2 linked regions of the Arabidopsis thaliana genome follow. The protein of the gene in region 2 interacts with the protein of the main gene of each other region in a pairwise test. Each region holds a gene or a part of one and is shown on either strand. Other genes may lie near its edges.

Region 1 (4,443 bases), on a different chromosome or scaffold from region 2:
TTTACCAAAAAAAAAACCTCATCAGAAAGGAGATGTACGTATGAAAAACAGAGTTCAATATAATCAGAATTCTTTCGATAATTTATGAAGTAAACTCTCAAATTTCGGATATTACAACACATATGAATAAAAACATTACTCATAACTCATAAGTGAGTAAGAAAAATAACATAATCCAAGAATAAGAGCTAATCCATCTTATGGTTCACTAGACATAGTTTATTCATTTAGAGATTGTAGATATATGGTTTATATTAATGTTCAAATATTAATCTAACAATTTTGGCAATCGACATGATTAAAAAATGAAATATATTCTCTTCCAACTATGGATACAAATAAAATCTATGGATTGTTGTTGTGGAATATTAAAAAGTAAACCCATATATAATTTACTGTTAACGGCAAACATCATTATCCAAATAGCACCATCGAAAAGACACATATCCCTGGCTTAGCGTAATAACAAATGGCCATGTGAAATTCATGGGCCCGAATAAAACACAAAGCTGGGCCCTCTTAATATTCCTAAATCCAAATAATCATATAATTATGTTTTCTGTTTGTCTCTCCCAAATATGATGTCGATAAAATTATAAGGGTTCGAATAGTTGCGCCAGTTAGGACGAACCAATTCATTTCCAATTCATTTCCGGTTTATACTACTTTTCTTTAGTATTTATGAACTATAATTTGTTGTCGTGTAAAAAATAGAACAAGTATGCGGCAAACTAACTATAGATTGTTTTTACGTAGAAAAAAAGCTTGATTTACATCAGTTTATTGTCCGTTCCAAAAATAGAAAACATTTCTCTGCTTTTTTTTATTGCAATCATTCAAAACCTAAATTTATAATCATTTATAACACCAAGAACATATATAAATCATCTTCACTCATAAAACATAAACAAACTACTCTACTTACAATATGCATAACCTCCACTAAATATATATGCATCCACAATTTACAAAATCATCATGTGGAAATTATCTCATACTTTAGTGTAATGGTTTTAACTGTTATATCACTTATAAGAAATCAGCTTAAAATTACTCGTATATGGGGCTTGTAGACTACCTTAAACTCCAAAAAACTAGATTTTGAAGCTCTAAATTGATCAATTAAGATGTATAGTTGGCCACTCTTTCAGCTGATCGATCATGTATATATGAAACAAATCTACAACGAATAAGTAAAACAATATTGCTTGTTTTTCAAGACGCAATGGAATTCAAGAGATCAGTCAATTCTACTAATAAATAATTTTCTAAATAAACATGATAATTTATCTATTTTTGTAGTTGTCTTTTGTCAACAAATGTCATCTTCATAAATGATTTCTTTATCCAAAAAATCACAAATTCATTGCCATAAATAACATGGTAAGATCACATATTAAGTTGAACAAAAAAGGGATCACATTTTCAAATATCTACCTCATATTTTTTTTTGTTATAATTTCTGACACGAGGAGATTATGGAACTGTCTTTAACAAATAAAAAAAGGGATTACGGAATTGAGATCTTAAAGTTTGATTATCCAAAAAGGATTTTATAAACAAAAAAATCAAGGTATATATCTAAATGCAAAAACGTATGATTAAATATCTTCGAACCTGGTGCATGATCAAAGCAACGTAACGTATCATGAAGATTCCGTGACCCACTTACCTTCAATTTTGTTTTATAATAATATTGTGAAATATTTATTACATCTCTTCCCTCTATTGTTCTCTTCCAGTACTATAAATAAAATGTCAAACCACTCCAACAAAATCAAACTAGCTACACAGTTATAAAAAAAAAGTATAAGCTTCACAATTTTCAAGCTTCTTCTCCTCTGTTCTTTAACAAATCCAAGAATAAGAAATATAAAACAATGAGGCAATTTCCAAGCATAAGAGGAAACATAAATGAGAAGATGATGACAACAATGGTGGAGTCTCAGACACGGTCTCCGTGGCGTACACCGGTTCCTTACCTATTCGGTGGTTTAGCCGCCATGCTTGGACTCATAGCCTTTGCTCTCTTGTTGCTCGCCTGCTCCTACTGGAGGCTCTCGCGGCAGACAGAAGATGAAGAGAAACAGACGGAGTCCGGTGAGAAAGTGGTGGCTAAGGCTTTTGAGGAGAAGATTCTTGTGATCATGGCTGGACAAAACAACCCTACCTTCTTAGCCACTCCGGTCGCGGCCAAGATTTGCCTGGATTGTGTTAATATGGAGAAGAAAGAAGGACAAAATGGGGAATCTAAAGTAACAGAAGAAAACCACTGACTACTGAGCTCTGTTCTCAAGAGTGTACTTTTTTGGATTCTCTGTTTTTGTCGGTTTGTTTTTTGTTTGTTGGGGAAGTAGTTTTCCTCTGTTTTTGTCGACCTTGAGATTGTAAATTTTCATTAGAGTAGTAAATGTGAACAAAAAAGTTGAGAAATTTCGGGTTTCTATGTATAAATGTTGGTATATGAATATATTTTGCTAAATTAAAGGTATCAATGTGTCATTGTTTTGATCATTAATATTTCCAAATTAGTTTTGAGAGTATATCTATATCCTGCTATAGCTTAAAGATTTACTTGTAAAACTAAGAAGTTTAGCTACATTTTCATGGCCGAGTGGTTAGCACTCTAAGTTAGAGGAGCATATATTTGGCCAAGACCAGGGGAGTGATTTCCGTTCTGAACGTGTGAGCCATCACTGTGTCTACGTGACTACTGAAGACATCTTTACTGGTCAAAACACTTGATTTTTATTGGGTCCAAAATAAATCAAAATGACCCAAGTTAGCAAACAAAAAAAACAAAAAAAAATATTGTGTGATGGGAAATATGTAAACAAATGGAAGTTGATTTTTAGTTTATTTTGTAAAAGTTACATAATTTTAGTCATTTTTTATAAAATTAGAATGTTATTTTATCGGAGAGCTTTTTTTCCGAAAAGTTTTCTCTCTATACCAGCTCTTTTTCTCCTGGTCATTTTTTTCGACAAAATTGTGGCTCCGACTAACGTTCGTGGACTTCCAAAGCCACGACGTTGGTTCGGCTTAAGTTTTTAGGTTTGTTTTTTTCTTTATTTGGCTGGGATCTTTTGGTTTTTCTGCAGAGTATCTGTTCTCATAATCAGAGTTCTTTGGTCTATATATGCATCGGTCCTATGCCAACTGTCTAAGTTGTGGTTGGTGAAGCGGTATGGACGACCATCTCTTAAGCTTCTCCACTCGATGCTCCCTTTAAATCTGGGCGAAATCTGTTTTGGTTTGGGATTCCTTTCACCGGTAAAGTCGATGGTTTCGACATCACTTACCAGGATTTTTCTAACAGTCTTTTGTACAAGTTCGAAACTTAACGGTTAGGATCTAATGGAATTTCATGATTGTACTTTTGAAGTCTACTAATAAGCAAGTGAGACATGAAGATTGAGAGGTTATGCTTAGATTTTCATATTTTCCAATTTCAAAATTTCTAGCTAATTAGATAGTTGATATTTTTGCAGTTAGATCATTAGTTTCTCTGTTTGGTTTAATTATGTTTTTCATTTGTTTCAAGTTTTTATGTTTCTTCTGGATGGGGCTGTTGGCTCCGGAAGTCCGTTATACTAGCCGGTTTTGTATACCTCCTTAATTCGATAAATAAACATCAGTGACCAAAAATAAATAAATGTTATTTTACCTTACGACATTTTACTTTACATGATACCTACCACACATGTAATCTGAACGAAAAAACCTATACGCTAACATAGCCATACATAAGCGTTTTTACTATCATGTCATTTTTTGCAAAATTAATCATAATTTTAACTCAGGTCCTGAATGTTTTATAGTTTTTAATTGGTTTTTAGTTTTCGGTTTTTGAATTTTGGTTTTTGATTTTTGAAGTTTTTGATTTTTGTTGTGGATTTTAGTTTTTGCAAAATCAAGAATGGAAATTTTTTTATATTTTTTTTAACTCGAATGGAAATTTATATAATTTTTAATTTTTTTACTTAATCTTAATGTTTAAACATTTTTAAATTGTGTATTTTATCTTTGGATGAATTGATAAATGGTAAAAATAGCATAATTAAATAATAATAGTAAATTAAAAAAAAAGGGTTACGTAAATTGTTTTAAAAACCCACAAAACTTAGTTTTTAGATTCTATGAAGAAATAGCTAAAAACTCCTAAAATCTAGTTTTCCTATTTTTTAAAAAATCTACTTTTTGTAGAAGAATGAATGAGTAATTATTTAGTTTTTGCAAAATCAAAATAAAAAAACTACTTCAAAAATTGGAACCATTCAAGGCCTCAATCATTTGTCCATTTTTAATCTAAACGAAAAAACCCACTCCTTTCATTTGTTTCTTTAAATTTCTGCAATGTTTAATTTTTATTAAAACTTATGTTCGTTTCTTTCAAGTCATCTAGTTTAAGAATAGTACAAGAGCACAGTACGAGTGTACGAC
Region 2 (6,455 bases):
TTTTCTCGTCTTTGAAAGCAATATCTTCAAAGTCTTACGCGGCAATTCAAATAAGTCTGTTATTACTTTGTTGCATCGAATCATGTGATCGTTAGTTTAAAGGATTATCACTAGGTTCACTACTTTATCATTTTCTTCATTGTAGTTTATATGACATTTAATTTTCTGTCAATTAATATGATTGAATAAAACCATTTTAATCTGTTTCTTCTAATTTTTATGAGAATCATAAATTCTTTCTTTTTAGACAGTTACTATTATTAAGAAAGAAAAAAACATGTTCTAGGGGGATGGAGATTAGACATAAATATTTTGACCTTAACGAAGTCTTTGTAAATAAATATTATACAATCAGTAATTATCTTTTAAAGGCATATTGTCTATTTATTTTATGTCTAGCTTGTATATTGCTTTGTGGTTCTATAGATTATGTGTGCAGGGATGATCTTTTTCAATTTTCATTGAGGAACTTATTGCTCACACCTTCTTTTATAGATTTAAAAGACGATTAGGAGCATAGTGAGATTTATATGGTGCCTTAGGAGGAATTTTAAAGTCATTCATTTGATAATGGTTTTCAGTTATTAGTATGACCCAAAGAAATGTTCCGTTTCAACCAAATGTCACTTAATTAGGAGGTTTAGGCCAATACCAATTAATGTCGTTGATGTTTCTTACAAAATTGTAAGTTTCTTGTTGACTTTTTGAACATGCACAAAAATGATTAAAATTGTGAAGATCCACTCTGTATTAAATGTTTAAAATTACATCGAAAAATGTGAAAAGGGCCCATCTTTTATACTATTTGGCAAAGTTTTGATTAATCATAAGGTTGTAGCTTTGAACGTTTATTTGTGAAAATAAAACGAAACAAAGAAACTATATCAACCAGTAATTATCTTTTTTTCTTTTTAATATGATCAGTAATTATCTTTTAATTTCATCACACGAAAAACTTAATAATGTTTGATAAAAATCTCACAAACAACAAAGAACGGAACTTTTATTCGATCGAATCATTTTCATTATTGCCATCACACGTTCACAAGACAACAAAGAACAACTCTCCAAGTTACACACACACATACACATTTGACATTTCATTCACTACTCTCACACGATCCAAGAGAGAGTCTTCCGGATCTCAGACCCGACCCGACCGACACTTTCCCTAAGCGAAACTGGACAGTTATTCCGAACAGCACTGAGCTCATACGGCGATGTATCGGACGCAAGCCATTGCTCAACATCAAAGCTTTGGTACGAGCACTTTGCATGAACTCCGGCTGTCGTGACTTCCACGTAGTTAACATACCAACCGTGGTGGTCACCGGAGCCGTCAGAGGTCAGATTTAATGAACAGACTGGGCTCGGAAGACATGGTGCTTTCCCACTGAAAATGTCGAGATTACCCCTCTCGTAGTAGTTGTAACCTGGTCCCATTAAACCACCCCATGCTTCTAGGTTTCGGATCCCGATGTAGTCTCCGTATTTGTCGTAGACTCTAGCGCTTATGATCGAATCTGTACCGGCTTTGAAGGTTGATCCGGTTCTAAGGAAGAATGTGTAGACACAATCTGCTTCATCGTCCTGTGAAATCAAGAAAGTCATTTTTTTAAATGGGAAGAAACAGAAGTTTGTAGTCTAATAGTTTAAACTAATGTCATTGATGTTGTGTCATTATATACATATTCAAATCTGGTTAATGTGTGTGTCTAGTTCTAGACAAAATCATATATGAGAGGAAGCAAGTCAGATTTGGAAAACTTACGGCTAATGCGACAGCGGAGACGGTGGCGATGACGAGGAGGAGTGAGAGGAAGAGGACGTCACGGCGAGGCATCATCGGTGATATGGATGTATAAGAAAGAGAGATCTAGTCTATGGAAATATTAATAGAAATGTTGAAAATGCTAAAGTATATGAGAGTTTAGATTTCAATGATTTAATTATCGTCTGTTTTGGGAGTTGCGTATGAAGATGACGTGGTCGTTTTTGGTCCGTTGGAATGAGTAAGAAATAAGAATAAAAATACTTAAGGATCCTATAAGCACGTCGTTAACTCGGCGGACAGGTCGGCATGGGTTGTCAGATTTCGAAAAAAATTGCATATTTTTTTTTGTCACAAACGCAAATCTTCGTGAGATACAATACAAATGCACTTCATTTTTCGCCAATTAGAATGTAATGTAACAGTTTCCAGTGTAATGCTCGCAACATAACATGTTTCACGTGGATTGGGGCCGGGGAAGAATTAGAGAAACATTAATTTTTGTTTTTGCTTTTTGAAAGAAAACTTTCGACCATATGAAGGTAAGATTTCCTTTAATTTCCTTGATATTTTCATGTACATATGTTTGATTTATAAATGAAAATTAAGTGATTGTGTGTTTTTCAAAGAAAGAAAAATGAAATAAATTTTGGATAGTATTGTCAGCGAAGCAGCAACAAGGCCCACAAACATAATTTTGAATGGCCGGTTGCTGCGGATTAATGTGTGTAAATACATACATTCCGTTCATGTCAATCCCAACGTATATTCGTATATATGCATTTTTCGCTTTCTAAAGAAACAGAAGTTGCAAGAGAATTGAAATAAAAAACACTTTAATGAAAATTTGGTCCAGAAATACCACCCAAAAATGGTTTTAGTTCGAAACGTACAAAATAAAATAAGACTCGTTCATGATAAACATTACCAATATGTGCTAACCTTTTTAAGATTTTACTCATGTATGTCTTATATGCATATATAATTTATGTTAGAAAATCGATATCTTGTAAACAAAAAGTAACAACTTCGTTGATCATCATCAAATGCCATAATACTATATTATATGAGTTCTGTAATATAGTTTTCTAAATAACAGAAAAAGGGAAATTTAAGGTGAGCTGGCTAACTCTAAATAGCAAAATCTTCTCAAAACCAACCAAAAGTTTGAGTCATGCAACAACAACCACTTACTTTTCCCATGCAAACCCTAATTTTCGCATCCTCTCTTAATTCTCTCTCTTTCGTCTTCTCTGTAGACCAATCTCCACCACACATCTCGTAACTCCCACCTTTCTCCGATGGAGGGGCCACGGCGTCCTCCTTCCGCCACCGCCCCTGACTCTGACGATGACAAACCCGATGATCCTCCGTCCGTTTGGCACCGTCCAACCTCTAGCCTCCCCGCATTGCCATCTTTAGATCCTCCATCGCACGGTTCACACCATTGGCGTAATCATTCTCTTAATCTGTCTCCACTCCCAACGACATCTTCTCCGCCTCTTCCTCCTCCGGATTCAATCCCTGAGTTAGAGACGTACGTTGTCCAAGTCCCGAGAGATCAAGTCTATTGGACCCCTCCTCCGGAACATGCAAAATACGTCGAGAAACGCAGCAAGAACCCGGAGAAAAACAAAAAGAAAGGGTGTTCTAAACGTCTTTTGTGGTTCTTCATTATCTTGGTCATTTTCGGATTCTTACTCGGTGCAATCATTCTCATCCTCCATTTCGCTTTCAACCCCACTCTTCCTGTTTTCGCGGTCGAGAGATTGACCGTAAATCCTAGTAATTTTGAGGTCACATTAAGAGCCGAGAATCCAACGTCTAACATGGGAGTACGCTACATGATGGAAAAGAACGGGGTCGTTTCCTTAACGTACAAGAATAAGAGCCTGGGGAGCGGGAAATTTCCGGGGTTGTCCCAGGCCGCATCTGGATCCGACAAGGTCAATGTGAAGCTTAATGGGTCGACCAAGAACGCAGTTGTACAACCTCGTGGATCGAAGCAACCGGTTGTTCTGATGCTGAATATGGAGCTGAAGGCTGAGTATGAAGCAGGGCCGGTCAAACGGAACAAGGAAGTGGTGGTGACTTGTGATGTTAAGGTTAAGGGACTATTAGATGCGAAGAAGGTTGAGATTGTGTCGGAGAATTGTGAGAGTGAGTTCAAGAACTGACACTCGCTCTATATATATTTTATATATAACATGATTGTGTCGTTAGAGTTAACAATGTGCTTAATTAATTCATACTTTCTATGTAATGTTCAATTGTTCATTTTTTTTCCCTAATGTCTTTGTTTTTACTCTATATTGTTGAGCGACAAAAGAAAACGTGAACAAGAAGAACACAATAGAGTGAGCGTCTTTTTTTTTTTTTAAATGTACCTTTGCTTTTACAAATAAATTTAGTTTAGCCCAGATTACAAATAAACAGACTAGTCAGAACTTCTTAAAAACAGAAGATATAATTGGGCCTAAATGCAAAAGTAACATTTCACCTCCTAAGATTTTTCCTAGACCAAGTGTGTACAAGCAATACTCCGAAAACTTGATGGGATCATTCCCTCTTTTTTTTTTCTTTTTTTTTTTATCATTCTCTTTTTGATAAGATCATTCTCATTTCTCAGTGTTGTTAGTTTTATTATAGAAATGTAACTTACATTTTGGGAATAAGTGCCGTCTGTACATTTCTATTAGTTTAACTTTCTCTTTTTCTGTTGGAATGTAAAATTTAGCTTCAACAAAGATATTTATATTTTAATTAATAGAGAATTTCAAAAGTTTGAAAGAAAAGATAGACTTTTAAAAGAATGAAGATTGAAAAGAAACAAATAGACTTTTAGAAGAATGGAAGTTGAAAAGAAACAATCTTGATCAGTACTTCTTCCTTCGAGCCAACATCTAATGAGGTCGTGAAGACAAGTCATATTAAAATATAGGTGCGAGGAGACCCGATCTGTTATTTTGTCGATCACTAGAGCTGACGGTTTACTGTTTCGTACGGTAAAAATTGAATATAGTCATTACACTATCGCTCACAACAAACATAAGAGATAGAAGCTGAGAATTTTGATAGTGCCATTGACGAGGTGGGGTTGCATATGCATCCAATCAGGAGTGAGATGCGAGCTTAGTAGAGGACCACCAACTTAAGGCCACGTTTTGAAGGAGAAAGGACTCATAAAAATATATGATCTTTGGCTTCGTCGAATTCGCCATAGTCCATAGAGGTACTTGTCTGCGAATGCAACTACCCGTTTAGAGGCGAATGTGTTAATAAACGGAAATGCTTTGCGAGAATCTGGCCTCACCATCTTATTGTTCAATAAGTGGAATGTATTAATAAGAAAATACAAATTATGAAAGTTTATACAAAAATATTTTTATATTTCACCGCAGATTTCAAAATGCAATGTTCTTTTTTTTTTGTGCGCTAGTTATTTTAAATATACTTGATTATTTTAAAAAATCGAATATACATAAAGAATCATTTATTCTATACCCCTACCATCTACCAAGAAAAGGTTGAGTGGTCATTTTCGCGAAACCACAGTGGAGAAACAATAATTGTGTATAAAGATATTCCACTAGAAAGTGAAACAAATAGGTCCAATTATTTATTAAGGGCACCTTTGGACCATTTTCACAGTCCTAATTATGACAACAATATTGTTATCTTCTAGCAAGAATATAAAAAGACAAATTTTATAGTTTATTATAAAATGAATTCTTCATTTCGGGTAAAGGTTGGATATATAAAATTGTATAGAAACCAGTAATAATAGTTAGGATATCAAAGAACTATTTGATGTATGATGTTTTGCAAGACACTATATTCATTTATTCTATTTTTTTTTGTGAGCGTACCAAACAAATCAAATTAAATACTATTTTATGTATGATGTTTTGCAAGAGACTATATCATTCTAAACTAACTAGCTAATATTGAATTTCACACATTTTGGGATGAGCGCAGTATCCAACTCTATTTAATGCTTTAAAATTTAAACATTTGCAATCTTGATGTAAAATACAAACATTCTTTTATCATATAATTCCACATGGTCGGTTGGTTGGAACGCACGCCTAGGCCTCACTCTTATTTGTGTTTCTCTCTTTTCCTTCACACCACTACATTCGAAAGTTCCGATACAAAAGAAAATTTCCTTTTTTGTTACTTTAAATTTTGGTGTCTAAAAAAGTTGACTATCCAATCAAAAGACATTTAGAGTTTGCCAAAAGATTTTTGTTTTTAGTCCACCTTTTAGACATGTCACAGAAAATTATTATTCAAGTGAAGGGATTGGTGATCAATGTTTTTGCTCCCTATAATTTGGGCATCTAAGTCACATGCATCCCCATGTTACCAAGTAGTTTGGAACATCTCACAGATCAACATATACATTCATTTACTGAGTCAATACATTTAAAATTACATATAGTTTTAGGCTTTCTATGGCACTAGATAATTGAGTCAAATCAAGTTTTGTTAGAACCGTCTGATTTACTTGAATCTTCTCTCTCTATATATATAAACAAATATAGAAAAATAAAGAACGGAAGAGACATTAGACCATCCTTATTGCAAGTCTCTTACTATAAATCTTAGGTATAATATATAATCAAAATAATATGTGAATAGTTTAGAAAAAGTCCTTAGCTAAGAGATAAAAGAAGGTTTA

What was found.
Region 1: the proteins of AT2G22180 (region 2) and GDU5 interact in a protein complementation assay, tested with the Arabidopsis thaliana proteins (one large-scale study listed by BioGRID).

Annotation. Positions count from the first base shown.
Region 1 is NC_003076.8:8,582,785-8,587,227, forward strand, and holds GDU5 (glutamine dumper 5), read left to right. Parts: upstream 1-1,750; 5' UTR 1,751-1,880; coding exon 1,881-2,276; 3' UTR 2,277-2,513; downstream 2,514-4,443. UniProt on the Arabidopsis thaliana protein: Probable subunit of an amino acid transporter involved in the regulation of the amino acid metabolism. Stimulates amino acid export by activating nonselective amino acid facilitators.
Region 2 is NC_003071.7:9,425,897-9,432,351, forward strand, and holds AT2G22180 (hydroxyproline-rich glycoprotein family protein), read left to right. Parts: upstream 1-2,846; 5' UTR 2,847-3,072; coding exon 3,073-3,948; 3' UTR 3,949-4,245; downstream 4,246-6,455. Other genes in the region: PLAT2 (Lipase/lipooxygenase, PLAT/LH2 family protein), read right to left, coding at 1,114-1,590, 1,772-1,846.